4 linked regions of the Callithrix jacchus genome follow. The protein of the gene in region 1 interacts with the protein of each later gene in a pairwise test. Links are inferred from orthologs where the notes say so. Each region holds a gene or a part of one and is shown on either strand. Other genes may lie near its edges.

Region 1 (7,954 bases):
GTGCTGCATGCCTATAGTCCCAGCTACTGAGGAGGCTGAAGCAGGAAGATTGCTTGAGCCCAGGAGTTGAAGGTTACAGTGAGCTATGATCACACCATTGTATTCCAGCCTGGGTGACAGAGCAAGACTCCATCTCTTAAAAAAAGAGAAAAACAAAGGGATATTTGAATGTCTGGCAAAATTTCCTCACTTCCACGTGGAAGTAACCAGCTGTGGCTGAAAGGTGGAGCCCTCTTTTGGTAAGGCAATAGCTCTTGGCTTCATCATAACTCCCATGCACCCTTCCACGCAACAATTTCACCTACCCAGTTACTTGAACCATGCAGAAAAATAATGGCATGGGAAAACATACACAACATTATGTAACAGGCAAGAGATTAATGTCTCTATTCATATGCAGAATTGCTAAAATGAATGTGAAGAAAAGCCAATTTTTAGAAGACTGGCACAGACCATTTACAAAAGAAATACAAATGGCCAACCAACATATAAAAAGAATAATCTCTCTTCTAATTGGGAAAAATCACACTAGTGTTTTTGTCCATTAGGTTTGGGGAAAAAAAGATGATAATATTCTACCTTGGCAAGAGTATATGGTACTGGCAAACACAAATACTGTTGATGGAAGAGGGACAGAACAATTTTCTTGATGGGCAATTTGGCAGGAGCTACCAAAATCTATTGATTTTTAACTGTTTATAGAGATGGGGTCTCACTGTGTTGCTCAGGCTAGAGTGCAATGGCTATTCACGTGCCTGATCACAGTGCACTGCAGCCTTCAGCTCCTGGGCTCAAGTGATCCTCCTGCCTAAGCCTCCCAAGTAGCTGGGACTACAGGCATGAACCACTGCACCCAGCTTCAACAAAACTTGAGACATGCATACACTTTGCCCTACTTATCCAGGGATTCCACAAATTGGACATATGAAACCAACCCACATATGCCTACTAAGATACACAATGCATCTACCAGGATGTTCAATATGGCAATGGTTATTGAAACAGCTAATGCAAATGGAAGTGACCTAAATGTTCATAAATAAGGGAAAGGCTGACCACATTATGGTACATCCCTAGGCTGGAATGCCATACAGTCATTAAAGAGTGAGGTAGATCTACATTTGTTGACACAGAAAACAATTCTCAGATATGGTTAAGTGGAAATATCAAGTGCCATAATAGTTAGTACAACCTAGTCAATTTTAGAATTTAAAAAACGTGTAAGTTAATATGCATACCCCCATGCACATTAATATACATAAATACTTTTCCCCTATTGCTAACCACTATCAACATACTTATACAGCTGGCCCTTTCACAACACAGGTTTGAACTGAGAGGGTCCACCCATATTCAGATTGTCTTCTGCCTCTGCCACCCAAGACGGCAAAACCAACCCCTCTTCTACCTCCTTCTCCTCCTCAGCCTATGTAACATGAAGAGGATGAGGATGATCCACTTCTACTTAATTTTCTCTTCCTTAGAGTTTTAAATAACATTTTATTTTCTATAACATACTCTATTGTTAGAATGAAGTATATAATACATATACAAAACATGTTAATTAAGTTATTGGTAAGGCGTCTGGTCAACAGGCTATTTAGTAGTTGAGTTTTGGGAGAGTTAAAAGTTATATAGGGATTTTGTACTATGCAGGGCTGGTGTCCCTAGCCCCCACATTGTTTAAGGGTTAACTGTATTTATATTAAGTATATATATAATTTACAAATATAAATGTTTATACATTTATAGTATCTAAAGGTAACAAAAGTCTGTTGATAACAGTCTTTTTTTTTTTTTTCTTTCTGTACCCTGAGAGCAGACATTTACTCTACACTTTTTTGGTGTAATTTGCAGTTTTTCTGAGAAGCATGCATTCATGCATTACTTGAATGCTTTTTTTTTAAGGGGATGAAAAGGGCCTTCCCAGAAAAAAAGACAAAGACTACCAAGGATGTATGAAGGGAAGAAGAAATGTGAGGTACTGTGACACTAAGGATGGCCTGGTGAGCACCAAATGATATGCAGCTGGAGGCAAGTGCAAAAGGAGACAGAGAACTCAGGACTGTCCACCCTTACTCAGACCACCGCCTATAGCCACACAATGTTCCTTTGTTGTTTAAATTACAGCGCATAGAATTTGTTTTAAAATAACCCTCCTGATACCAAATTTTAAACATGGCATCATCTCAACGGCGTAAATAATGCATTAAAAATGGGCTGGCAGGAAATACGTCAACCTGCAGTTACTGCCTCTAGGAGGAGCGAGTAGGAATATTCATCTTTTTGCTTCTTCATTGTTTTTCATTTTCTAGTTTTCTGCAACTATATATTATCAGGCAAAAAAAAAAAGCATACTTTTCAAAATGAATTTCATATTATAGGAGAAAGCAAGCCAGTTATTTCCCCAAATGATCCCTGGCGTAGGAGGACCCTCAAGTCCAATAGATATATAATGGCTTCACTGTTACTGTTAAGACTTTCTTTGCCTAGCTATGAGTTCCCCAACTCCTTGCTCCACACTTCAGGACCAGGATCCTGTGAGGACTGAGGTGGAAACAGGTGGATGGTAAGAAAGGGTATTTTCATCCTTTCTTGAGATACATGGATTCTTTTCCCCGCTTCCGAATGACTCTGAGGCCTCCTGGGTGCTACCATCTTTATTTCCTACCATCTCTTCCTGTATATGCTCTTTGCTCTTGTTTTCATATTCTTTCCCTGGTTCCTTTCCCTTCTCCCCTCTCATCCCACTCCCCAAGCTCCTCCTCTTCCTTTCTTCAAGCCACCCAAGTTGGTGGCAGGAAGGATTCGCAGGATGGGAGAGGGAGAAGATTGGATTAATGAAAATGTTCCAATTCTGAAGTTGAACACTTCCAGCCTCGAGCTTTGGGTCAGTGATGATGGCTGTCCAGGGAAGGAAGCAAAAGAGAGGATAAAATAAGAAAAGCAACCCCTACTGCAAATATAAACACATTTCCCGTAATTATCTCTTGATCATGGCTGGATGTCACAGTGTGGAAGGCTCTGTTGTCATAGTCACTGACAACAGAAAAACAAAACAAAACCCGAAGTCAGTGTTACAGGTTACTGTCCAATGTATCATTATCATCAGGCTCACACCCTAAAAACTAAGACAAAACTTCTTTTCAATTAAGGAGTAACTTTCTTTTAAAGTAATTCTTGTAGGAAACCACAACATCTTTTTTCACAAGGACAGAGCCACAGAAAGCAGTTTCACTTAAAGGCACAATACCTGCCAAAAAACCACTCAGCTACTTGACCTCACTGGGGACTTCCTCTTTGCAATTTCTTAGTTCACCGGGAATTTTGCCAGGACTAAGGCCAACAACATTCCTGAAGATGTCATTTCCACCTCAGCACACCCTCCCCTATTTACTGGCTCAGTAAACACGGGGGCAATGAACTAATGAACAAGTGAATGAATGAGAAGGCATCAGCACTCTGCCGGGGTGCTTACCTCTTCTGGTTCATGGAGGCCACCTGGAGCCATTCGTTGGTGCTGGGGTTGTAGGAGTGCGCAGCGGAGATCTCCTGGCTGGTGATCCTGTACCCGCCCACTATGAAGAGGTAGTTGTCCAGGATGGCGGACCCATAGCCCCTGACATTGACCAGGTCGGGAGGAAGGTTGTTGGCCAGCGGGAACCAACGCTCAGTCATCTCCTCGTACCTGAGCATGGACGGGGGCTCCCCCTGGTAGGGGTGAGGGGCCAGGGGTCCCCCCAGGAAGTCACCAAGGGCCACGAGGACAGGAGTCCCAGTCATCCGGGCCTCCCTCAGCCTCTGCTTCAGGCTGACATCCCCTGGGGCTTGGGGAGGAGATCCCAGAAGGTGGAACTGGGGCTTGCACAGCACCTCGTGGAAGTGGACGACCATGAAGCGCAGGCAGGCCTCCTGCAGGTCGGGCAGCCCGTACACCTGCGCCAGGCGGTACATCTCCAGGCAGTTGTTAAGCCGCACCTGGGACAGCAGCAGCTGCAGCAGGGACGTGACCTGCAGGAAGGAGGCCGCCTCCACCAGCTCGGACAGCAGGCTCACCTCGTCCATCTCCTCGTCCTCGTCCACCCCGCCGCCCTTCTCCCCTCGCGGGTCCAGAAGCCAGCCTTCGCGGGCCCCACCGGCGTTGATGAAGTCCAGGACCAGACGCAGGCCTGGCGCGCTGAGGCCGCGCAGCTGCTGCACCTCCGGGCCGCCTGCTTCCTGGCTCAGGGCCTCGCGCATGCCGGAGCGGTAGAGGGCGCGGAAGTAGTCGCTCTGCTCGATAAGTTTCCTCTTGCTCACCGGATAGCAGCGGTCCTCCAGGCGGATCTGCACCATCTCCTCGGCCGACATGGCTGGGAGCCCCGAGGCGGCGGCGCTCACCGCCAGATCTGCGCGCTGGCCTCCCCGCCCCCACGCGCGCGCCGGTTCCGGGTGGGGCGCCGAGGGATGGCGGCCCGGGAGGAGCAGCGAGGTGAGGGCAACCCGCGCTCGCCCGGCCTCTCCGGCGGCCCCTCCTCCCGGGGCCCACTCCCGCGAGGCGGCGGCCCTGCCCTTCTTTCTCTCAGCGCCAAAAAAGGGCGGGCGCAGCGCGCCGGGCGTCTTCACGCTGGCTCTCCCGAGCGGCGCCAGGCGGGAAGGGAATCCTAGCCCTCAGCCCGCAGCCTCCTCCCCCGCCGCCCTTCTCACTTCCGCCCGCGGGACCCCAGCCGCCAGCCTGACCCGTTGGCTGCATCCGGCCTCTGGGAAGCCGGAGAGGTTAAGGGACGCGCGCCGGGGGAAGCGGGAGGCGGACGGCGCGCGTCCTCGCAACTTCTCCGCACGCCTGGGGCGCGCCGGCTCCGCCGCCTGCCCAGGTCTGCAGCGATGCTCCGGGGTATCCCCGGAAGAAGAAATCAAGTTTGTTTTCTCTCCCACGCTGCGTTACAGGGGCTAAGGAAAAGGCAATGAGCGTAGGAGGAAAGGGAAGGAGAGGGAGTCTGGTTCAGGGAGACAAAAGGCATCAAATGCGAGGTCACCCTTTCGCCCCATCGAGTGTCAGTGGGCTGAGGCACGCAGGCGATCTGTGGACATGCTTGTGGCACGTATAGCTGATTCTCTGGCAGGGTCGTCGCGTAGGAGCCATCTTACAGGAGTTCCACGCAGATGGCAGCAGGTTCTCAGAAGAATCGGGTTGGGAGGCAGGGGAGCTTGCATTTGCTGGTGGGGCCCGTTATTCGGTCCCTAAGTTATTTAAAGAAAGATGAAAGCGCAGCCCAAATAAAGTTACATCAGGCTTCTGGTTTTAAACCATGTTTTCCACGAGCCATTGCTTTTCTACTTAAGTCTGGCTGAACTATCTATTACGGAATGTTATCCTGGCGCAGGTCTGACAAAATTGGCTCATGGTTGTCTGCAGAGGTAGCTTTTCTTGTCACCCCCTTTCTCCACCTACCCTGCCCCCATCATCTGAGAACTATTAAGAGAGAGCACACGTGCAGTTTGGCCAAGGAACCCTAGCACTCTGGGAGGCCGAAGCGGGCGGATCATGAGGTCAGCAATTAAGAGACCAGCCTGGCCAACGTGGTGAAACCCTGTCTCTACTAAAAATACAAAAATTAGCCGGACGTGGTGGCAGGTGCCTGTGATCCCAGCTACTCGGGAGGCTGAGGCAGGAGAATTGCTTAAATCCGGGAGGCAGAGGTTGCAGTGAGCCGAGATCGTGCCACTGTACTCCACCATGGGCGACAGAGCAAGACTTCGTCTCGGAAAAGACAAACCACTTGTTTCCTATGTTCGCTCACTGAACATTGTAATTAGAAGGCCCACCCCAAATAATAATAGGAAGGGCTTTTTGTGTTGCTTATGAATTGATCTCAGGAAGAGGGTGGGGGAGAAATATATTGTTAGGGTTATCTTTGGGTAGGAAAAGAGAGAGCAGGATTGGGAGGATGCAGAGGGTGTTCACTCTTAACTTACAAAACAAAAACAGAAAACCTTGAAAACTTCCCCCAAACCAACATTTGAGAACCACCTATGATAAACAGTTCTTAACTTGGAGAGAATATGTATTTGGATTTTTTATTATTATTACAAGCTTCAGCTTTCTTCCTGAATGACAGGTTGTTAAATAATATCTTATTTAAAAAGTACATTTCCCCTATTTAAAGAAGATACATCCTACCATGTTATGTTAGGAAGAGGAAACGGTTAAAAAAAAAAACGGAAGAGGCCGGGCGCCATGGCTCAAGCCTGTAATCCCAGCACTTTGGGAGGCCGAGGAGGGTGGATCACGAAGTCAACAGATCGAGACCATCCTGGTCAACATGGTGAAACCCCGTCTCTACTAAAAATACAAAAAAATTAGCTGGACATGGTGGCGCGCGCCTGTAGTCCCAGCTACTCAGGAGGCTGAGGCAGGAGAATTGCCTGAACCCAGGAGGCGGTGGTTCCGGTGAGCTGGGATCGTGCCATTGCACTCCAGCCTGGGTAACAGCGAAACTCCGTCTCAAAAAAAAAAAACAGAGAAGTAAGTTGTAGGTGATATCCTTGCAACACAGTTTGGTTACATTCATGCTTCTCACTGTCATTTAACTGCTTCACAGAGAGGTGTTATCTTTATTATTATTATTACTTTGGAAAGGAAGTTTGTCTTTTTATTTTGGGGGGGGAAATGCATTTTTTTTTTTTCCATAGAGACAGGGCCTTGCTACCTTGCCCAGGCTAACCTCAAACTCCTGGCCCCAAGGGATCCTGCCACCCCAAGTGATCCTTCTGCCTTGGCCTCCCAAAGCACTACTGTGCCTGGCCTATTTTCCTTATAATAATGCTAGAAATAAGGAACTAAAAAATAAAAGACATATAAAATTTTCTATATTTTCTGGCCTCCCTGGAATAAATGAAGGAAATAAAAATGGATCTATGACTTATTCAGTTGTTTTCTTGGATTCTATTAAAAAATATGCATCTCTTCCCCTGGTTTCACCTGGCCTTTAAGTCGTTACTGATAAAACTCCATTTTCACACCAACCCTTCACACTTCCATTCTCTATGAGGGTGCAGTGAGGCATGATAAGCTTTGGAGCAGGAGATGGAGTGGGTGATCATGGATTTAGCAACTTCGTCGGGATGGTAGAGTATAACATCCAGTTTTAAGCGTCAGGCTGGGGAACTTTTGCTGGGAGGCGCCCCCTGTATCAGAGGCTTGGACCTACGATTTATCTGTGCCTCAACCAGCAACAATGCCAGATTCAGTGGGTCAGCCACAAAGAACAGGCTCTCAGTCTCTCCTCTGTCTCTTGAATCTTTCACCAATGGATGCTTTTGTTTCCCAACCGTCATAGATATGCCTCAGACTGGTATTTTCTTGCCTTTTTGAAACAGACCAAAAAAATATGCTCAAAGAATCATGTGCATTAGAAAGGCAATTCAAGCACAGTAACATTATCAGGGTAAGATAAGGTTGGACAGGGAATCTGGGGTGTTAGTCTCACAATACTAGGCATTGATCTTGTGAGTTTTTGACTCCCAAAATGATAACATTATTTAGGATTGGGAGCATCTTAAATGATCAAATCATTTTAATTAATTACACAGCAAGTTTTCTGTTAAGCTAGAAATGCAAAGTCAGAGCAATATTAACTCCTTTATTTAAAAAAGACCTAAAATAAGTTCTGGCTTCCTGAAAATACTGCTTTATATAACTGGAGGTATAATTTTATAGATCTGTTATTGACTGATCATTGAATAACAAAAACTGGCTTTGTAGTATTATTATCAAGGACTATCTGTTTTACAAAAGATTAATGGTCAAATAGAGTCAGGTAATTTTTTTTAAATTTAAACTATTTTTTAAAATCGTTACTGATAAAACTCCATTTTCACATCAACCCTTACACTTCTATTCTCTATGAGGGTACAGTGAGATATGATAGGCTTTGGAGCAGGAGGGGGAGTGGGTGATTATGGATTTAGCTGC
Region 2 (7,832 bases), on another chromosome or scaffold:
TCCTCCAAGTCCAGTAGTCTAGAAAAAGATACCAAACATGTTAATACTTTTAGGTGTTGATGATCTATTTATTTGATAAAAAGTTTAAAAACAATTTAGTATTAATAATTCATTTGGAGCCAAGTTTACATACTAACCATTTGTGTAACCATGGCAAGATTCTGACCACTTTTGGGATGTCATGAGCCTGTATTTGTTAAAGTCATTCCTATTTTTCAGTAATCCCTTGGTTACCTGGCATGGTCACAAATGAGTCATTTGGGAAAAGCTTGAGCCCAGCCTAAGCAACATAGGGAGACCTCGAGTCTACAAACTCAAATAAATACACGTGCACACACACACATAATAAGAATGAACTACAGCTAAGAATACCAGTCATGGTGTTAAAAAACTTTCCTGCACATTGGAATCACCTAAAGCATACTTAACAATTACTGATGCCTGGTTCCCACTCTGGTATTGTGATTCACTAGATAAGGGAACTATTATCACTTACAATAGAACTCACAATTTTCAGCTAAGCCATTTATTAAAAAAAAAAAAATTCCCTTTATTGCTAGTATATTAACTATTAGTCATTATTAGAAATAAAATTTACCCATGACTTCAATTTCGTTGAAAATACTTAAATAATTCCATTTTTCCATATTCTTGACTGGTCCTTTTCCATATCACAGCTTTCATAATCCAAATTAGATTGTAGCTTCACTTCTATTAATATATTCTGCATCGTAAGTATTTTCCCATGTTGGTTATATTTTTGGATCTTTCTCTGTATAGTAGAGCTTTTATATAAATCACTCATCAGAGCACCTAATCCCTATGGCCACAGAATCAAATAATCATGGGGCATCAAGAATATTTGTGTCTGACATTTCATTTATTCATGATAGTTATTTCCTTGTCATCAGGTACTTTTAAAGAAAAAGCCCTTACGTCCAAGGTCATCTTTCTTCTGATACTTGAGGTTGCCAGAATTCTGATTTCCAGATAATTTGCCTGTTACTATGCTAGGGGGAAAAAAAAAAAAAAGCAAATTTGAGGCTAGGGGATGACTCCCAGCAAGATACAGTGTTAGCATCTTCTGTTTGTTACACAAGGCAACTAACTTCATTCAACTGCCATGCAACATTACTGAATTATATTGTATCTCTAAAAGATGCATCAGAGGGCAAAGCTTTATCCTTGCATATCCTTCTGCCTGCGTGCTATAATGTTTAAGATGTAACTCCTTTTCCTGAAGAATTTAAGTCACTTGAATAAAAATATGTTTAAGTGTCCTCCCTTAATAAAGATTCCCTGATATATTCTTTGAATATGAGTTCTTCCAATTTCTAAGTTCAATGCCTAGAGAAAGTAAAATAGATAAGAAGACTAGAAAAGAGAACTAAAAAGATGTCCTGGTCTCTAATCTAGTTGTACTACTAACTAGCTCTAAGAATTTAACAGACTACAAATTACATTTGCCTTCCTCACCTATAATTGCACATGGACACATTTCACATACAATATTATCAGTTATTTCAGTTTGGGACAGGGTTTCTCAATTTTGGCACTATGTACATTTTGAGCTGAATAATTTATTTGGGGGTGGGGCAGTGCCTTGTTGGTTATTTAGTAGCATTCCTAGCCTCTACCTATTAGATGCCAGTAGCACCCTATACCCCCCACCCTCCATGTTGTGGCAACCAAAAATGTCTTCAGACATCGCTAAATGTTCCCTAAGGAACAAAAATCACTCCTCCAGCTGCCAGTGGTTTGAGAAGGATCCAGATTTGCTGATTTGGTTCAGTTATGCTCATGACTTAACTAATTGGTAGTTTTATAATTCATGCTTGGGCTTGGCCTCTAATGATAAGTAAATTCACATTCTATACTCATCCTCAGAAATCAACTATTGCAATTTCCACATAAATGCTGGCATTAGAGACTATGCCAGAAAAGAAAAGTACTTTTGTCTTCTGCTGCTTCATCATCTGAAAGAAAGGTAAATTGATCTTCCCAGCCTGGGCATGGTGGCTCAGGCCTGCAGTCCCAGCCAAGGCAGGAGGATTGCTTGAGCCCAGCCTAAGCAACATAGGGAGACCTCGCCTCTACAAACTTAAATACACGCACACACACACACAAAATAAGAATGAACTCCAGCTAAGAATACCAGTCATGGTGTTAAAAAACTTTCCTGCACATTGGAATCACCTAAAACCTACTTGACAATTACTGATGCCTGGTTCCCACTCTGGTATTGTGATAAAATGAATAATGTGTGTGGATTTTTAGCAGCTCTCCAGGTGATTCCCAATGCTGCTGTACAGCGAATTTTAGGAGCCACTATTTTAAACACATTGAATGAACGCAATGTGTAGCTCTTGTGGAATGATTTTTAAACCGAAATTCTTGTCCCTATCCTAGGCTTCCTAACCAGAATCTCTGGGGAAGGGGATCCCTGGAACGTGTATTTAACGTTAAGCTCCACAGGTGATCCTAATGCCCAGCCAAAGCTGCAAATTACTAAGAACAAAGGAGAAATCTATGAAATACATGAAACTTGACCTTGCCAGTGGTTCTCAAAACTTGGCCTCAAAATCAACTATATAGGACTTACTAAAATATAGATTGCTGGTCCCGCCCCCCGTGTTTCTGACTCAGTCCTGGAGTAGGGCCCTAGAATTTGCACTTTTAACAGGTTCCCAGGTGATGCTGATGCTGCCGGTCTTGGGCGCCAAACTCCCAGAACCGCTGCAATGTACTTAACAGAGTCCAGGTTAAGTACATTACAGTTACATATTAAGAGGGGCAGGGCGAGAGCTCCTCAAAGGACCAATTAATGCTCCAATTTCCAGAGTTATACCCTCTGGAAAATCACATGTGGTCTGCAGAGTGAATGTATGAATAATACACATTTTAAAAGCGTGTGTGCGCAGGAAGTTAAGGCTGCGAACTTTTTTGGTGAGATGCAGCTCATACATCAGGCAGTTGCACTCTGCAGCGTGGAATAAGCACAATCACTGAGAAGAATTCCGTGCTACTTGCAGTTTTGCCACCAATATCTTTGGTTGCTTTGGGTAAGTGGCTGTTTTGAACTTCTCTCCTTTTAGGTAGATAATATGGGAAACCTCTTCCACCAACAACTCGCAGAGCGAGGGATGTCCCGGGATTTGTCCTGCAACCCAACCTCTCGCGCCGCGCCACTACGCGGGCAACGCCGACCCTACCTGGCAGTAGAGCCGATAAAGGGGTACGGCGGCGTAGGACACCCCCAGCATGCCCACGGCGACCGCGGCCACGTAAGTGAGGGCCGTCTTGTTCCGCCGCCGCCATTCCTCCTCCTGTGCGCGCCTGAAAGGGTTCGAGCTCTTAGGCCGCCGCGACGGCTGCACTGCCGGATCCCTGGCTCCAAGGTTGCAGCGCTTCCATGTCCCCAGCAGCCTCAGTCCTCTCTCGGCACCTCCTATCCCATTCCACTCTGGCCTAAGAAACGGCTCTGCCCTCTCTGCAGGCCGCGCTGTAGACCCACGGTGAAACGAGTGCCAGCCACAGAAAAAGAGACGCCTCCATGCCGTATGCCAGACCCCACCCATAACACCCAGAACGAACACCCACCCGCCTCTCACGGACGAGCAGTCAAATCTCGCGAGGCTTAATATGTATCGCGAGATCTGGGTTGAGCCTGCCGCTGCTTTGGCTACCAGGCTCCTCAGGTGGCAGCGCCTATAGTCGGGCTACGGAGGCCGGGTTGCTAGCTTACGGGTAAGTTTGCGTTTTGCTTTGTGACTGTTCCTCTCGCTTCCCGCCAGGGCTTCTCCAACGTTTAAGAAAACGCGTTTTGCTCGTCCGCGTGCAAGCTTGCCATCACTTGGGGTTGTGCCTGTGATCTTTTTAAACTCCACCAGCCTTTGTCTCGACCCAGCAGCCCTGGCGGCGTTCTCCCGCGGTCTTTTCTCCTGGGGTCCCCTGGCCGCTGGCTCTTGTGCTTACTACCCTCGACTTGGTTCAGGGATCATCGCCTCTCTCAGGAAGCCTTGCTGAGTTAACCGCAGACCTCTTGGACACCCACGACACCTGCATTTCCTCAGCCCGTGGACAGTCGGCTTCCCCTGCTCTGATGCCCCTTTACGACTTGCCCAGTGGAAATCCCCGCAGCTGGAGCGGGAGGAAGGCTGTCAAGCTGAAGTTTGTTCGGGAGAGAGTGACCAAGATATGAGGAAAGGAAAGACTGAGAGAAAAGAACTACGTGGGGCCATGTAATAGCTTTCTTGAGTTGTCCCACAGGACAAGCTGGAGGGGAGCAAACAGCGTAGCGGAGTTTACTGTCATAGAAGGAAGCATCTTTCTAGAAACTATACTATAGCAGTTAAGAGCTCAGCTTCTGAGGTTAGAAGGTTCTGGATTTTTACCCGACTCCTCACTATGGCCCAGGACTCGTAGGCCAGTTACTTGGCCTCTCTAAGACCTGGTGTCCTTACTTGTGACATGGAAATCATAACAGTAAGTGAGAATATTCATATAACGTAACTTTCATGATGCCCGAGGCATAGTAAGAATTTAGTTAGGCTGTATTTCTACTTGCTATCTAGCCATTTCTAATGGCCAGAGCAGATATAATTATCCCCACCATGTGGATGAGGAAGTTGGAGGCCTGAGAAACTTTAAGTCATTTAACATTTTATTTATTTATTGCACCCTCAGCTGTAGGCCTGACATTAATAGACCTGCTGGCTCTATAGCACAGAACAAGTTGGAAGATCACTTATGTGATGGAGTGACCTTTCTACTGAAGGACTCAGAAGATAATCAAGTAACAGTTACCTAAATAAGGGAATTTCAGATAACAATCTGTGCAGTGAAGACAATGAAATAACATAATGTCATTGAGAGTGTTGAGAAGGGGTAGTAAAGTAAGGCCCTTCTGAAGAGGTGACATTTGAGTTCAGACCTGAACGATGATAAGGAACTACTGTTTGATGACAATTCCAGGCCAAGCAAAGGCCCAAGGGAAGGAAAGAGCTAGAAATGACTGAATAACAGAAAGGAGGCCAGTGTGTTCCTAACACAGTGAAAAGTGGTAGGAAATGGGGTCAGAACAGGTAACAAAGACCTGATAATACAGAGCCTTTTAAGCCAAGTCCAAGGGTTTGGATTTTATTCTAAAAGTAAAAGGAAGCTACTGGAATGTTTGACGTATATAAGTGATATAATCTGACTCACATTTTTAAAAAGGTATTGGTTACTTTGTGGAGAATGGATTAAAGGTAGTGGAAGAATGGAAGTAGAACAGTTAGGAAGCATTGCAATAGTCCACGTGAGTGATGATGGTCACCTTGAGTGAGTAATTGGTTAACTTGAGGTCACAGGGCCGGAAAACTGCAGAACCAATAAAATCTAAATACCTTCTGACTTCTTTCTTTACACTGGCATACTGTCTCAAAAATTTTAGGTCTCCATGATTCTACAGATTTATTCATATTGTGTTACCACAATATTTGAAAATCCTTTTCATCTGCCTGCATCTTGGTTCTTGTACAAGATTCTCAGCTCTTCTAGGATGAGATTTCTCATAGTTTAATTTTCTTACAGCATAGACTGAAATCCCTGACACCAACAATACATTTCCTCTCACCATTGTTTTTCTCCAGGCACTCCTTCCTTGTAGCAGTATGAATATATATCAGTAATACAGTCTTTGTCTTAGACTCTAGTATTTTATTTTTTGTATAATAACTGCAAAAGGAAACTCTTGTGTACAGTAATATTGATAGCAATGAAATGGTGTTGGTCTTTGTAGCTTTCTACTTTATTAAAAGAAAATATGCATCATATCTGATCTTAAGATGATAATGTGAAATGACAGTTCATGTTTATGAAATACTTTTGTATGACAAGTAAAATATTTTGGTTTTTTTACTTATATTGTGAATGAAATGCATAGAACATCATTTAGTTCAATGTCCAATTAACAAAGATATTAAACATATGTTTATTACATATTTCTACAACATAATAGTACTCAAATTTCTTGTATACCCTTCAACATTAGAGAATGATAAAGATTCTTCAATCTTTATCATTTCTACACCATTTGAGAATGGATTTTAGACTTGATGTTTCAGAACTGTATACTTACTTATTTATTATTATGAAGACACTCTTTCCAAACCACAAAGCAGGCATCAAAATCAACAAGTTAATATTTATCCAGTATTACCTTATATTGTCAGCTTGGACTACCAATAGCAAAATATCGCAGACCAGTTGCTTAAACAACAGAAGTATTTATTTCTCACCGTTCTAAAGGCTGGAAAGTTCAAGACCAAGGTATCACTTGGTCACTTCCTGGTGAGGGGTCTCCCTGGTTTGCAGACATCTGCCATCTTGCTGTGTCCTTACATAGATTGAAGTAAATTAGCTCTGATATATCTTGTAATGACACCAATCCCATGAGATCAGGTTCCCACCCTGATGACCTCATTCAACTATAATTACTTCCTAATCCAAATACAGCTACATTGGGGGTTAGGGCATCAACGTATGGATTCTGGGGGATATACACTAAGTTCTTTACACCATGTTATTTATGGACTCTACTTAAATTACCCTATTTATCCCAATCATTTCCAATTTAGATCTAGGATCTAATCCAGGATTAGCGTTCTTATTTATCAAGCTTCTTCAGTCTTTTTCAATCTGGAATAGTTGCCAATCTTGTTTTTCATATATATATATATAATGTAATATATATATTGAAGAGACAAGATCTTGCTGGGTTGCTCAGGCTGGTTTCAGATTCCTGGCCTTAAGCGATCTTGGTCTCCCAAAGTGCTGGGATTACAGGTATGAGGCATCGCACCCAGCCTTATCGTTCATGACTTTGACATTTTTGAGGACTACGGGTTGGTTACATGATTAAGTGTTCCAATATAGTTTTGACTGATGCTTCCTCATGTTTGTGACCCCTTGACAGGAACATCATAGAAGGGATGCTATACTTCAATCAGTGAATCCTCTTAGGTGTCACATGATCTTGATTTAGTCCATGGCTTCCTGATGTTAACTTCTATTTCTTTAAGATTGTATCTGCCAGGTTTCTCTGTTATAAGGTGAATTAGTACATATGTCACACTCATAAATTAATAGGCAATGTATGTTTTGTGGGGAGAAGTTTGTGACTTGTAAGGAGAAGCTTTGAGACTATAAATTCTATTTCTCATCATACATTCTACCAGATTTAGCATCCACTGATTCTTGTTTGAATCTGTTATTACTGTGATGGATACCAAATGATAATTTTCTAACGTTATCAATCCTTCTAGGTTTATTAGTTGGCATTTTACTGTAAGGTAGAGTTTTCCCTGCTATATCCTATATTTCTTGTTTATTTGTTTATATCAGTATAGACTCATGAGTTCTTATTTTAATCAAGGGTTAATATTTACTATTATTATTTATTTATTCATTTAATTTTTGAGATGAAGTCTTGCTCTGTTGCTCAGGCTGCAGTGCAGTGGCAAGATCTCGGCTTACTGAACTTTCACCTCCTGGGTTCAAGCAATTCTCCTGCCTCAGCCTCCTCCGTACCTGGGATTACAGGCAGGCGCCACCACTCCTGGCTAATTTTTGTATTTTTAATAGAGACAGGGTTTCACCATGTTGGTCACGCTGGTCTTGAACTCCTGACCTTGTGATCCACCCGCTTCAGCCTCCCAACGTGCTGAGATTGCAGGTGTGAGTCATGGCTCCCAGCCTATTGCTATTATTTTTAAATTCTGATTTCAGATTTTCCTAGACTTGGCCAATAGAAGCCCCCTTTTGACATGCATTTATCATTCTTTGATCAC
Region 3 (7,726 bases), on another chromosome or scaffold:
ACTGCACTCCAGCATAGGCAACAGAGCGAGTCTCTGTCTCAAACAAAAAAAGAAGAAGAATTAGTCAGGCATGGTAACATGTGCCTGTGGTCCCAGCTCCTCCGGAGGCTGAGGTAGGAGGATTCCTTGAGCCCAGGAGATCAAGGCCACTTGAGCCATGTTCATGCCCCTGCACTCTAGTCTGGGTGACAGAACAAGACCTTGTCTTCAAAAAAAAAAAAAAAAAAAGTAATGAGTTGATAACATTGTGCTAAGTTATCTTTATCTACATATGTATATATATTGTTTCTTTTGCAAAACCTTTGGAGAGAAAATTGCAAGCATCCTGATATTCTATCCTTAACAGTTCAGCAGGCATGTCTTTTTTTTTTTTTTTTTTGAGACAGAGTCTCGCACTGTCTCCCAGCTGGAGTGCAATGGCACGATCTTGGCTCACTGCAACGTCTGCCTCCCGGGTTCAAGCCATTCTTCTTCTTTAGCCTCCTGAGTAGCTGGGACTACAGGAGCCACCACGACGCCCGGCTAATTTTTTGTATTTTTAGTAGAGGCAGGGTTTCACTATGTTGGCCAGGCTGGTCTCCAACTCCTGACCTTGTGATCCATCCGCTGTGACCTCTCAAAGTGCTGGGATTACAGGCTGAGCCACCATGTGCGGCCAGCATCTCTTAAAAATAAGGACATTGGGCCAGGCGTGGTGGCTTACACCTGTAATCCTAGCTTTCTGGGAGGCCAAGGAGGGCAGATCACCAGAGCTCAGGAGTTTGAGACCAGACTGACAGTGCGAGACTCCGTCTCAAAAAAAAAGGAATAAGGACATTAACCTACAAGCCCCAAAAATACTATTTCACTTTTTTTTTTTTTTTTTTTTTGAGCCGGAGTTTCGCTCTTGTTACCCAGGCTGGAGTGCAATGGCGCGATCTCGGCTCACCGCAACCTCTGCCCCCTGGGTTCAGGCAATTCTCCTGCCTCAGCCTTCTGAGTAGCTGGGATTACAGGCATGTGCCACCGTGCCCAGCTAATTTTTTGTAATTTTTAGTAGAGACAGGGTTTCACCATGTTGACCAGGATAGTCTCGATCTCTTGACCTCGTGATCCACCCGCCTCGGCCTCCCAAAGTGCTGGGATTACAGGCTTGAGCCACCGCGCCCGGCCCTATTTCACTTCTAATAGAATCAAGAATTCCACAATAACAACGAATATCCAGTCTATTTCAAATCTCTCCAGGACCCAAGAACATCCTTTATAGTTGCTTTCTTTTCTCCAAAATCAGGATCCAGTGAAGGATCACGTGCTAATTTGGTTGTAATGAAGAAATTACATACTATATTTTATTCTGGGATATTCCCCCACCCGAATCCTTTTTTTGTGTGTGTGAGACAGAGTCTCACTCTGTCATCCAGACTAGAGTGCAGTGGCACAATCTTGGCTAACTGCTACCTCTGCCTCCTGGGTTCAAGTGGTTCTCCTGCCTTATACTCCTGAGTAGCTGGGATTACAGGCACATGCCACCACGACCAGCTGATTTATTTTGTAGTTTTAGTAGAGACGGGGTTTCGCCATGTTGCCCAGGCGGGTTTCCAACTCTTGACCTCAGGTGATCCATCTGCCTTGGCCTCCCAAAGTGCTGGAATTATAGGCGTGAGCCACCACACTCAGCCCCAAACCATTTTTTATCTTTTCTTGACATTGAATTTCTGGCAAAATAGCCCAGTCGTGCTGTAGAGTGTCCCACATTCTGGATTTGTCTGACTGTGTTTAATTTGTTCCTCTCTATTGCCAGTAAACTGGAGGCTGAATCTAAAGGCCTGGGGAGATTCTGCTTATGCAGTGAACTGGGAGACTCCACAGGGTATGTCCTAATTCTTATTAATGTACTTCCTAATCCTAATGCATTATGGTAGGTGGCACCCAGTGTCCCGCCATTGGTAATGCAGAATTTCATTACATGATTAAGATTATGAGGGCTACATCATAAAAGGATTTCATCCTTTGCAGTTAGCAAATAACCTTTGAGATGATGCTTTAGAGCCTGTCAGGACCCTATCTCTAGACTGTGCTCTTATAGATACCATCCTATTTAAACTTTGCTGTGAAGAGGTAGGCAAGACTATCCTTATTTAACTTCGTGTAGCTTGGAGAGGTCGATCAGTTTTCCAAGGTCACAAATCTACTGAGTGGTGAATCCGGAGTCGGAATTTGAACCCGGGCATATCTGTAGTGTAGACCCCTGTCGGGGCGTGATGTGTAAGAACCTTAATTGCCATATTTGGCAGGTGCATGGGTAGTTGTGAGGGGCTCGTACTTTGAGAGGCAAAAGGCCCACCCGCCACCATTCCCCAGGGTAAAAAGCCACCTCTTTTCACCCTTCACTAGAGCAGCTGCCCGGGCATGCGCCCTGAAGCCAACCTCCCCTCCTTCAGAATCCGCCCCCTACAGGCTCCGCCCATCACCGTCCAGAGCCAATCCCTGGGGCGAAGGGAGGGGCAGCCACGAGAGTGGGCGTCGCTAAGGTTAGTTAGGAGTCTGGAGTCGTGCGCTCGAGTCAGAACTGCGTCTTGCGATCCAGGTGCCGGTTGCTGGAGGAGAGTGAGCAAGCGATGCTGCTGCCGCCGTTTCCTGATTGGCTGTGGATGGCTACCTCTTTGTTCTGATTGGCCGCTAGTGAGCAGGGTATGTAAATGAAGGGGCCTGGGGAGAGAAGGGGTGCCAGCGGCCGGGTCCTTTACGAAGTTCGATCCCTGGGTCCGACAGGTGCCCGTCTGGGCTGACCGGGATCGAGACACACGGGCCTCTATGTGCCGTCTGCCCCGGCCGGGCCGGGTGAATCACGCCGCAGCCCGAGAAGGGGGCGGAGGCGCCGGCTCCCTGGCTCCGGCTGCGTGACTCACCCGCCCCCGCCGCCGCCGCCGCTTCGGGAGGAGCCGCCTCCACTGCCGGAAGCGAGCGGAGGCCGGGCGCACAGAACAGCCCGCCGGGGGTCCCGGCTCTCACGGCCCCGGGAGGCCGGCAGGAATCACAGCCGGGAAGCGGGGCAGTAGGAGTCCTGGGGTCAGAGGGGCCAGAATCCCCGGGGGAAAGCCGGCCTGGGCACCGCTAGGGGGCGCCGGGACCCGGGGGCGGAGTCGGGGGTCGGGGGCGGAATTCCTGCGGTTCCTCACTCCTGGGACCGCGGGGAAGGGGACGGAGACCCAGTTTTGACTAGTGTGATGGTCCACTCTTAAGATCTTGCTAGGCAGGGTCCCGGGAACTGGACCCTGGACCCTTACTGGCCCAAAAAGGTAGGTAGCGCCAGGGGTCCAAAACTCCAACCCCACCCCCAGCCACTCCAAGAAGAGAGTGGGTCCTCAAACTTATCTCAGTGACTGACCCCAGTGCCCAGCACGATTTCCCGGCAAGCCCCGTCGATTCTGCCTCCCAAATAAATCGTGACTCGACCGACTTCCTTCCATACACTACCAGCTCCTCCTCCAGGCCATCACCATCGTCCGTCCCAACCGAGTACAGCTTACCAGTGGTTCTCAGATTCCCCCTCTTCCTCCCCTCCCCCCAGTCTTCCTCAAAGCAGCCATGGGGGGACGGAAACCCAGTCAGCTCACAACACCACTCCCCTCCCTGCTCAAATTCCTTTAATGACCGCCCACCACGCTCATGATAAAATACAGACTCCCTACTTCTGCATATGTGGCTTTCTGTGACCTGGCTGGTGCCCGTTTCCTCTGCTGCTCCCCAATCTGGTCTCCTACCATGTCACTCTCTGTATGCCAGGCATGCTAGTCTCTTTCAGTTCAAGCCCATCCAGCCTCTGGGTCTTTGGTTGCCTTTTTTTGTTGATCCCTCCTCCCAGAATCCTTTTCCCAGGGGGTCTCCCTTGGCTGACTTCTCTGGCCTGAGGGCTCCATTCAAATGTCACCTCCTCTCGGGAGCCTCCTCTGATCATCTGAAAGGTCTCCAGGACCTTTTAGTGTCTTCCTGTAATTCTCTGTACATTTCCTGTGTTTGCTTATTTATTTACTGTTTGAAATATATAGTAGACAATAAATATTAAACTATGTGAAACTAGTTTAGTATTTATAATTTATACATAATTACTTATAATAAACTATGTGAAACAGCTGCTTTTGTAGGGGAAAGGTGAATATTGGCCATTCCACATGGTTCACTGAAGACATTATAATGTTATCATTAAGAGTATTTATTGGTGGTCTGGGCGAGGTGGCTCACACCTGTAATCCCAGCACTTTGGGAGGCCTAGACAGGCAGATCGTGAGCGCGGTCAGGAGTTTGAGACCAGCCTGGTCAACATAGTAAAACCCTGTCTCTACTAAAAATACAAAAATTAGTGGGCGTGGTGGCGGGTGCCTGTAATCCCAGCTACTGGGGAGGCTGAGGCAAGAGAATTGTTTGAACTTGGGAGGCAGAGATTGCAGCGAGCCGAGATCTCGCCATTGTACTCCAGCCTGGACAACAAGAGAGAAAAATTGTCTCTCAAAAAAAAAAAAAAAAAAGGTGTGGCAGCTCAGTTATAATACCAGCACTTTGGGAGGCTGAGGCGGGAGGATGGCTTGAGGCAAGGAGTTTGACACCCTGAGCAACATAGTGAGACCCTGTCTCTACAAAAAATAAAAGGAGAAAGAAAAAAGAGTACTTATTGACTGACGCAGGAGGATTGCTTCAGGCTAGGAGTTTGAGACCAGCCTGGGCAACAAAGTGAGACACCATCTCTATTTTTTTAAATAAAGAAGTCCATAAATATACTTTATAAAATATAAAATACAAAATGTAAGAAGTCTATAGGCTGGGTGCGGTGGCTCACGCCTGTAATACGAGCACTTTGGAGGTCGAGGTAGGCAGATCACTTGAGGTCAGGAGTTTGAGACCAGCCTGGGCAACATGGTGAAACCCCATCTCTACCAAAAATACAAAAATTAGCCGGGCGTGGTGGCTTATAGCTACTCGGGAGGCTGAGGAACGAGAATCACTTAAACCCGTGAGGCAGAGGTTGCAGTGAGCTGAGATCATGCCATTGCACTCCAGCCTGGGCAACAGAGCGAGACTCCATCTCTTAAAAAAAAAAAAAGTCTATAAATATACATCTACAATTAAATAAAAATTGCCTATATCTTTAAAGTTCCCTAACAAAAGCTAGGCACAGAGACGCTAAGTGACTTGCCAAAGATCCTACCTGCAGCAGCTGTCAGATCCAGGCTTTGAACTTGACATTTGTTTTCCATAACTTGACTTTAACTCCCTGCTCTCTGCAGATGCTGAGCAAGGGTCTGAAGCGGAAGCGGGAGGAGGAGGAAGAGAAGGAATCTCTGGCAGTCGACGCCTTGTGGCTGGATCCTGGCCACGCAGCGGTGGCACAGGCACCTCCGGCTGCAGCCTCTAGCTCCCTCTTTGACCTCTCGGTGCTCAAACTCCACCACAGCCTGCAGCAGGGTGAGCCAGACCTGCGGCACCTGGTACTGGTGGTGAACACGCTACGGCGCATCCAGGCTTCCATGGCACCCACGGCTGCCCTGCCACCTGTGCCAAGCCCACCAGCAGCCCCCAGCATGGCCGACAACCTCCTGGCAAGCTCAGACGCTGCCCTCTCAGCCTCCATGGCCAGCCTCCTGGAGGACCTCAGTCACATTGAGGGCCTGAGTCAGGTCCCCCAACCCCTGGCAGATGAGGGGCCACCAGGCCGTAGCATCGGGGGAGCGGCGCCCAGCCTGGGTGCCTTGGACCTGCTGGGCCCAGCCACTGGCTGTCTACTGGACGATGGGCTTGAGGGCCTGTTTGAGGACATTGACACCTCTATGTATGACAATGAACTTTGGGCACCAGCCTCCGAGGGCCTCAAGACTGGCCCTGAGGATGGGCCGGGCAAGGAGGAAGCTCCGGAGCTGGACGAAGCGGAACTGGATTACCTCATGGACGTGCTGGTGGGCACACAGGCACTGGAGCGGCCGCCGGGGCCGGGGCGCTGAGCCCTTGTGTTGGGATGGTTGTCTGGTATCTGAACTGAGCTTGGTGGCTGGACCAACTGTCCTCAAAAAGACACAGCTGGCTTCCCGAGTCTAGAGAACAGGGCTTGGCCACTTTGCAGAGACAGAATCCAGTCCTGGACAATTTCACGTCCGTCCTCCTGTCTCAGGGCTAGCGGGGAAGCCTGGGATTAGTCCCTAGTGATGGAATGACAGGATCTGGTGGCGGACTGAATTCCCTGGCCCTGCAGTCATAGCTTGGGCTGTTCCTTCTCTGATCTGGGAAGAGACCCCAATCAGATTTTTCAAATTAAAAGCAGTCCTGGGAAATCTCAAATCTGTGTGCTTCTTTGTCTCTGGGCAAATGTGAAGGCGAGATATTTTATTGGGCTTAGACAGACTGTGCCAGGCAGAGTTCTAAGCACTCGACATGGGTTAACTCATTTAATCATATAACAGCCCTACAAGATGGGGTAGCTTTATTATCATCCCCATTTTACAGGCAAGAAAACTGAGGCTCCAAGGTCATCACTTGAGGAGGTGGGTTTTAAAGTGTGAACTGAACTTAGTTTGTTTTAGGTAGGGTCTCACTCTGTTGCCCAGGCTGGAGTCCAGTGGTCCGGTCATGGCTCACTACAGTCTCAAACTCCTAGGCTTAAGGGATCATCCTGCCAGGTCACTTTTTTTTTTTCTAAAATTTTATTTCTTTACCTTGCCAGCAGGACGTCAAGGCCACTTTTTAAAAAAGAAAGCACACTTTGGGAGGCCAAGGCCATTGTATTACGAGGTCAGGAGTTTGAGACCAGCCTGGCCAAGATGGTGAAACCTTATCTCTACTAAAAATACAAAAGTTAAAAATAACAACAACAAAATACAAAAGTTAGCCAGGCGTGGTGGCACACACCTGTAGTCTCTGCTACTCTGGAGGCTGAGGCAGGAGAATCACTGGAACCCGCGAGGCGGAGGTTGCAGTGAGCCGAGAACATACCATTGCACTCCAGCTTGGGCAACAGGAGAGTCCATCTCAAACACAAAAAATGACAGCAAGTCCTCGCCTGGCGTCTACTTGTATTTATTGGAGGGGAGAGGGAGAGGTTGCTTTCAGAATGGTCCAGAAATAAAAACACAAAACCTGGAGCCTGGGCAGATCCTCTCCAGGAGCCCTGAGAGTCGGCTCTCTCGAAAAATGGGGATGGAAAGGGGGACAACAACCCGTTTTCAGAAATAAAATCCACTCAAATCTGTGTTGGGCAAAGGATAGTGCTGCTTGGAGGCTGTGTCTGAAATAAGCCCACCAGCCTTCGTGGCTGGACTGCGGAGAGGGCGCTCAGGGCGCAGGCAGCTGTGCCTTCCTTCTAGAAGAAACCCAGGCCCGGGCAAGCTGGGGCCACCTGCCCGTGTGCTGGGCCCGGCCGGAGCGCAGGGTGTCAGCAGCCGCCCCCGCGGTCCAGCCGCATTCCAGGCCCGGCTGGGAGGGGCCCCACACTCAGCGGCCTGGCGCGGGACCCAGGGTGCGTCCTTCCTGACGGCCTGGGGGACAAGGCGGAGCCTGGGGGTGGTGCACGGAGGGTAGGGAGTGTCACCGTGAAAACTGTGGGCGCGCATGCAGAGAGGCGCCGGGGGCTGGACGGTGAATCCCGGGGCCAGCTGGGCCTTGAGCGAGGGAAGTGCCGCCATCGTCGGGTCCCCGAGCCTCGCCTCTGACCGGAAGCCCCGAGGCGGCTGAGGCAGGGGTGGAGCGGGGCCAGGCGGGGAGC
Region 4 (7,242 bases), on another chromosome or scaffold:
TGCTATTAAAAAAAGAAGAAATTACTCTGGATTCCTACCATTTTTCCTGATTATCAGTGTGATATTACCTGCCATATATATATATATATATATATATATATATATGCTTTGCTACATAGGTTATTCTATATTTGAAATTATAGGATATATGTAATAAAAGAGGAAAAGACATAAAATGATACAGTGTTTCTAAAGTGGTAATTTTTATATCTCCACTTCTCTGTACTAGCAGAAAAAAATTGTATTCCTTGATACTGGAATTTTGTCAAAGTTAATAAAGTAAAAATGCTCCATAACTAAATCATTATATTCCCATCATGCTTTTTAATAGTTCACTTTTAATTTTATTTTATTTCTCACAATGCAGGCTAATTACTTGTGAATTTTTATTTTGAATCATATATTTTAGACCACAAAAATATAGTGAAAATAAAATATTTTCTGGATACATACTGTACAACTTAATAAACCTTTATAAATATAATGAAGCTCCTGTATACTCTTTTTTTATACCCCCAAATTTGATGTTTATCATTCTCATACATGTTAATATTTTTACTACCCATATATATATATATATGGGTAGGGATATATATATATATCCCTAAAGAATATAGTGTGTTTTTTGGATGTTACAAAACTTCAGGTGAAACATTTACATATTGCTGGTGGGAATGTACCATAGAATAGTTGCTTTGGAAAACTGACCATTCCTAAAAGAAATTAAACATAGAATTACCATATGACACAGCATTTCTACTCCTAGATATATGCCAAAGAGAAATGAAAACATAATGTCCACACAGAGATTTGTATGTGAATGTTCATTGCAGCAGTGCATTATTTATATTAGCCAAATAATTTCTAAAAATCCAAATGTTGAGTGGGCATCATGGCTCAAACTTTTAATCTCAGCACTTTGGGATGCCGAGGCAGGTGGGTGTGATGTTGGACACCGGTAGTCCCAGCTACTCGGGAAGCTGAGGTGGGAGATTACATGAGTCCCAGGAGATGAAGTCTGCAGTGAGTCGTGATCACACCAGCCTGGGCAACAGAGTGAGACCCTGTCTCAGTAAACCAACCAATCCAGATGTTAATGAACTGGTGAATGGTTAAATGTGGTATGTCTATACAATGAAATGTTATTTAACCATAAGAAGAAATGAAGTACTGATACATGCTACAACGTGGATGACCCTTGCAAACATTATGCCAAACAACAGAAGCCAGTCAGAAAAGGACATACATTGTATGGTCCTATTTATATGAAGAATCCAGAATAGGTAAATCTTTAGAGACAGAAAGTAGACTAGTGGTTACCTAGGGCTGGGAATATGTGGGGAGAATGAACAGTGACTGCCAATAGGTACAGATTTCTTTTGGAAGTGATTAAATGTTCTCAAATTAGATACTGGTGTTAGTTGTATAACTCTTTGACTATAGTCAGAACATTGAATTGTACACTTAAATGTGTAAATTGTATTGATACATGAATTATAGCAATAAAACTGTCTTAAAAAACTCATGTAAATATTATAAATTCTTCTGCTGCTAGCTTTTTTGACTCAGCATTATAAACCCAAGCAAATCATATTTTGAGATTTATATGTTTTTGTTCATTTAATTTTGTATCCCTCATTTCATATTCCCTTGTATGAATTTAATATATTAATCAGTTTTCCTTTTTGCTGTCAAAAACAATGCTTCAGGCTGGGTGCAGTGGCCTATAATCCCAACATTTGGGAGGCCAAGGAGGAAGATTCCTTGAGCCCAGGAGTTCAAGACCAGCCTGGGCAACATAGCAAGACTGTCTCTATAAAAAAAAAAAAAATTACAAAACCAATGCTTTATTGGATAGTTTAATGCATATTTACTTGTATAATATGCTTTCTAATTTTTTTAAGAGATAGGGATCTTACTCTGTCACCCAAGCTGGAGTGTAGTATCATGGAGGCATGATAATAGCTCACTGCAGCCTTGAACTCATGGGCTCAAGCAGTCCTCCCTTTCAGCTTCCCAAGTAGCTAGGATTACAGGCATTTGCCACCATGCCCAGCTAATTAAAAAAAATTTTTTTTTTTAAATTGCAGAGACAGGGTCTTACTATGTTGTCCAGGCTGGTCTTGGACTCCTGGCCTTAAATGATACTCCTGCCTTGGCCTCCCATGCCTGGGATTACAGGCATGAGCCACCATACCCAGCCCTGATGATACATTTTTAAAGCTTTCTTCCAAATTAGAATTTGATGGGATTATTGATACTTAGTAGTTTATTTAGGAGGCATTTTATTGCTTTACGTCAGGATATTTAATTTATTTAATTACACTATTTAAAATTGAAGTTAGTAGAACTGCTTTTATCTCCTGAATGTCATCTGTAGTTTCTTCGACAAGAGAAAAGGTAGGACTTCTTAACTGTTGGGCCTTTGCTGGTATTTTAGTGTTATATGAGATGTGTCCTAATTATTGTGTATGCTAATATATTTTATAGAAAAGGCCACAAATGAGTACAACACTACAGAAGATTGGAGTCTTATTATGGATATATGTGACAAAGTTGGAAGTACACCTAATGGGTAAGCTGTCCAGTCATGCTCAGTGAATGTTTAGGAACTCGATAACCAGTGTCTCTTTTTGTGATGAAACTTTGAAAGAAAAATGAGACTTTACCACAGTTGATCCTTGAACAACACAGATTTAAACTTTATGGGTCCACTTATACACAGGTTTTCTTCCACCTCTGCCACCCCAAAGACAGCAAGACCAACCCCTCTTCAACTCAGTAATTTTCTTAATAACTTTTTTCCTCTAGCTTACCTTATTGTAAGAATACAGTATATTATATATATGCAAAATATATGTCCATCTACTGTTAATGCTATTGGTGAGGCTTCTGGTCAAGAGTAGGCTATTAGTTGGCTGGGCATGGTGGCCCACACCTGTAATCCTAGCACTTTGGGAGGCCGAGGCAAGCAGATCATTTGAGGTCGGGACTTTGAAACCAGCCTGGCAAACATGGTAAAATGCCGTCTCTACTGAAAATACAAAAATTAACTGGGTGTGGCGGTAGACGTCTGTAATTGCAGCTACTCTGGAGGCCTAGACAGGAGAATCACTTGAACCTGGGAGGTGGAGGTCGCAGTGAGCCAAGATGGCGCCACTGAACTCAGCCTGGGCTGCAGAGTGAGACTGTCTCAAAAAAACAGAAAAAGAGTAGGCTATTAGTAGTTCAATTTTTGAGGAATCAAAAGTTTATTTTCAGCTGCATGGAGGGTTGGTCCCCCTAATCTTCATGTAGGTCAAGGGTCAGTTGTTTTACTTTCGGGACATAAAAGTTAAAAAAGCCCGAATGCTGGATTTATGGGATTAACTTCATCTGGAAGGAACAAATGAAAAAGAGTTCAACTCAAAAGCTCCTGTGGTAACACATAATTAAACACTTTACATAGTGGGGAGACGTAACAATGTATAGGTGAGTTATTTAAGGAATTCCTCTGGGACTTAGATGTATATGGGAACTTTTAAATAATGAAGTAGATAAATAACACAATAGATAATATAACAAAAAAGTCTTTGAATAATGTACATATAAATATAATAGGTAGCCTAATGAAAAAAGTGAATATGAAAAAAAGTGCTTTTGGGGAGATGTTGCAATTAGCTGAACTATGTATTAGAAATATAAGAGTGATGAAAGCATTTGTTTTAACATTAAAGCTTTTCATAGCATATTCACGTGTTTATACTTGAACCTCTTTTTTTTTTTTTTTTTTTTTTTTTGAGACGGAGTTTTGCTCTTGTTACCCAGGCTGGAGTGCAGTGGCGCCATCTCGGCTCACCGCAATCTCTGCCTCCTGGGTTCAGGCAATTCTCCTGCCTCAGCCTCCTGAGTAGCTGGGATTACAGGCACACGCCACCATGCCCAGCTAATTTTTTGTATTTTTAGTAGAGACGGGGTTTCACCATGTTGACCAGGATGGTCTCCATCTCTTGATCTCGTGATCCACCCGCCTCGGCCTCCCAAAGTGCTGGGATTACAGGCTTGAGCCACGCACCCAGCCTGTACTTGAACCTCTTAAAATTATATGTCTTGTTAGGTTTTTTTCAAGATAAGATTTTGCTGTCTGAAAGCTAAATCTGTCTTGAAGAAATGGAAAGATCTGGTATACATCTCTTGTGTTGACAGATCTTTTGTGAAATGATTTGTTTCTTGATTTTGGAATATGCACCGTTTGCAACATGCTTTAGCCTATGAACAAAATATTGTGTAAAATCGTTTTATAGATTTATTCCTTTAACAAAGTGAAATTTCCAGGACTTTAATTTATTTAATATATTTTTATTTTATACTTAACGTTATTTTATTTTGAGACAGGGTCTCACTCTGTCATCCAGGCTGGAGTGCAGTGGCATGATCACAGCTCACTGCAGCCTCAGACTCCTGGTCTCAAGCAATCCTCTTGCCTCAGCCTCCTGAGTAGCTAGGAGTCTAGACACATGCTGCTATGCCCAGCTAATTTGTAAATTTTTTTATAGAGATGAGATCTTACTTTGTTGTCCAGGCTGGTCTCAAATTCCTGGGCTCAAGCGATCCTCCTGCCTTGGCTTCCCAAAGTGTTGGAATTACAGCTGTGAGCCATTAAAGATAAAGTTGTTTGGTAATAGAATACCTTATATTTTTAATGTTTGAATTAAATTTATCAATATTTAACTGTCTTTTTTTTTTAAGAGCGAAAGATTGCCTAAAAGCCATAATGAAAAGGGTAAATCATAAGGTTCCTCATGTTGCTCTGCAGGCACTAACTGTGAGTAGAAGCCATGTTATTATTGACCCAAATTTCAAATGTGTTTTTATTGTAGTAAGTTAATATTTCAACATTTGTATATTAATTTTTTATTTTAATAGCTTCTTGGGGCATGTGTGGCAAACTGTGGAAAGATATTTCATTTAGAAGTATGTTCCCGTGATTTTGCAACAGAAGTACGTGCTGTGATTAAAAATAAGGTAAATTTTAAAAGGAGAAGAAATTTAAGTCATTAAAAAAATATATAGATTGTGTGTAATTATAGCTATATGTGGTATTACTGAAGTAATTATAAGTATTACAAATGAAGTCATTTTTAAATAAATTAAAATGAAATAAACTTCTATTCTGAAATTTGATTTTTTAATTTGTAGCACCAAAAACTTCTCCCCAAAGTATATATACTGTAGATAATAGCATATCTTTTTTGAGGGCTAGTAAGTAGTCATTGCTTTAAGCATTTTACATATACTGTCTTGTTGAAAGCTCTTAACTACCCTTGGAGCATTAGATTCTTGGAAGTTAAATTCCCTTATCATTCCTATTTTATAAATGCAAAAACTGAGTCTTAGAGAGAAGTAACCTCTCCAAGGTCACGCAGCTAGTAAGTGGGAAAGGCAGGATTTACATCCAAGTTACTCTGATTCCATTCTCCAAAACAAAGAGGAAAGAATCCCAGAATATAAAAGATTTGTTGTCATTATAGTAAGACTTAGGAATTGGTGTTAAAAACAGTAATTTTGTGTGAAACAACTACATCTTAACATGTAAATAGGCATCTATCAATTACTCAATTAGGCTAGAAATTGCTGGACTTTTGTTGATGTTCATATGATTAAAGAGAATTTTGAGAGTAATTCTCCTGGTTAAATAATTTAAGTACGTATTTTAACTATAGATGTTTGTTTATTTTCCTTTCCTTTTCCTTAAAAGGCACATCCTAAAGTATGTGAAAAACTGAAGTCTTTAATGGTGGAGTGGTCAGAAGAATTTCAGAAGGACCCTCAGTTTAGTCTGATATCTGCAACTATTAAATCTATGAAAGAGGAAGGAATTACTTTTCCTCCAGCAGGTTCTCAGGTGAGAGATTTATTCAGACCCATGATTGACCCTCTAATATTTTGAAGGTATGTATCTTATGTAAAAACTGGGCAAAGTATGTCTTGATTATCGTTTTCCACCTCTACTTCCCAAATGACTCTCTAGCATAATAACTTACATTTCAGGTACCATGTTAAGATGTAGTCTATTACATTTAATAGACATTCTAATTTTTATGTTTATTTCTTCCACATAACAGAACCTTGAGAAGTTAGTCAAACATAAATAATAACTCCTCTAAGTCTGGAGTCATGCAAAAGGCATAGGTGTATGAGATAGCCCTTATATTAAAAAAAGTATAGCAAATTTGAATGGTAGCTTTATACATGTGAAAAATACCTAATTTAGATTTTAAGTAGCAAATACAGGATGAGGGGAATAGACTGTATGCTGTCTATCTTAATACCAAAGAGAGAGCAGTAACCACAGGTTGGAATGGTGAAGAGGATGAAGAGGTAGAATTTTGAGACTTGAATGTATTAATATTTTATTAGAGAGAAGTAAAGAAGTTATGTCAGGAGATAAGTGAAATGAACAAACTCATGGAATTGAGAGGCTCCGGAGTTGTTTGTTGAAGAGTGACTATGCCTAGAGTGAATGCTTTACATATAAGATGGTTGGAACTGTAAGACTAGACATGTATTTGCTGGGAGAGGGGATAGCTTTAGTAGAACTGGGATGTAGAGGCAGGGATGTTGACTCATGGAGTGGGCTGTTTTTTTAGGTCTGTGGGAGAAAAATACTGTCTCCTGGGTTTTACTCTCAGTACTTCATGCCTTCCCATTAATATTAGAATGTGGGCTAGGGAGACTATGGGAAGTACTATATTTTCTTTTATTTTAGATCATAGATTAAAGGAAAAAAGTTTTTGGTTTTTTTTTTTTTTGAGTTGGAGTTTCGCTCTTATTGCCCAGGCTGGAGTACAGTGACACAACCTTGGCTCACTGCAACCTCTGTCTCCTAGGTTCAAGCAATTCTCTTGTGTCAGCCTCCAGAGTAGCTGGGATTACAGGTGCCTGCCACCATGCCCAGCTAATTTTTTGTATTTTTAGTAGAGACAGGGTATCACCAGGTTAACCAGGCTGGTCTCAAACTCCTGACCTCAGGTGATCCACCTGCCTCGGCCTCCCAAAGTGCTGTGATTACAAGAATGAGCCACCACATCCAGCTGAAAAAAGATTCTTTACAGCTGACCAGATCTAAGGGTTCAAGGTAGAGTTTTGAGACAAGAGTCTTAGAAGTAGTAAAAAGGAAACATTTTCCTGTTCTGTCCTTTCTGCATATTTTTCTGAAAAATCTACGTAAAGAACTGGTTGATGGATCAGAGTCCTGGATAC

What was found.
Region 2: the proteins of KLHL42 (region 1) and STXBP4 interact in a two-hybrid assay, tested with the Homo sapiens proteins (2 studies listed by BioGRID and IntAct). The two-hybrid records come from large-scale screens. The link is inferred for Callithrix jacchus from reciprocal best matches to the Homo sapiens genes KLHL42 and STXBP4.
Region 3: the proteins of KLHL42 (region 1) and SERTAD1 interact in binary tests that used the Homo sapiens proteins (3 or more experiments, as listed by UniProt). The two-hybrid records come from large-scale screens. The link is inferred for Callithrix jacchus from reciprocal best matches to the Homo sapiens genes KLHL42 and SERTAD1.
Region 4: the proteins of KLHL42 (region 1) and STAM2 interact in binary tests that used the Homo sapiens proteins (3 or more experiments, as listed by UniProt). The two-hybrid records come from large-scale screens. The link is inferred for Callithrix jacchus from reciprocal best matches to the Homo sapiens genes KLHL42 and STAM2.

Annotation. Positions count from the first base shown.
Region 1 is NC_133510.1:43,438,932-43,446,885, forward strand, and holds the start of KLHL42 (kelch-like protein 42), read right to left. Parts: upstream 4,673-7,954; 5' UTR 4,351-4,672; coding exon 3,479-4,350; intron 1-3,478. UniProt on the Homo sapiens protein: Substrate-specific adapter of a BCR (BTB-CUL3-RBX1) E3 ubiquitin-protein ligase complex required for mitotic progression and cytokinesis. The BCR(KLHL42) E3 ubiquitin ligase complex mediates the ubiquitination and subsequent degradation of KATNA1.
Region 2 is NC_133506.1:111,238,440-111,246,271, reverse strand, and holds the start of STXBP4 (syntaxin-binding protein 4), read left to right. Parts: upstream 1-3,675; 5' UTR 3,676-4,485; intron 4,486-7,832. Other genes in the region: COX11 (cytochrome c oxidase assembly protein COX11, mitochondrial), read right to left, coding at 1-18, 3,213-3,578. UniProt on the Homo sapiens protein: Plays a role in the translocation of transport vesicles from the cytoplasm to the plasma membrane. Inhibits the translocation of SLC2A4 from intracellular vesicles to the plasma membrane by STX4A binding and preventing the interaction between STX4A and VAMP2.
Region 3 is NC_133523.1:35,980,478-35,988,203, reverse strand, and holds SERTAD1 (SERTA domain-containing protein 1), read left to right. Parts: upstream 1-2,544; 5' UTR 2,545-2,670; intron 2,671-5,261; coding exon 5,262-5,972; 3' UTR 5,973-6,306; downstream 6,307-7,726. UniProt on the Homo sapiens protein: Acts at E2F-responsive promoters as coregulator to integrate signals provided by PHD- and/or bromodomain-containing transcription factors. Stimulates E2F1/TFDP1 transcriptional activity.
Region 4 is NC_133507.1:78,220,297-78,227,538, forward strand, and holds part of STAM2 (signal transducing adapter molecule 2), read left to right. Parts: intron 1-2,490; coding exon 2,491-2,575; intron 2,576-4,728; coding exon 4,729-4,804; intron 4,805-4,905; coding exon 4,906-5,004; intron 5,005-5,737; coding exon 5,738-5,884; intron 5,885-7,242.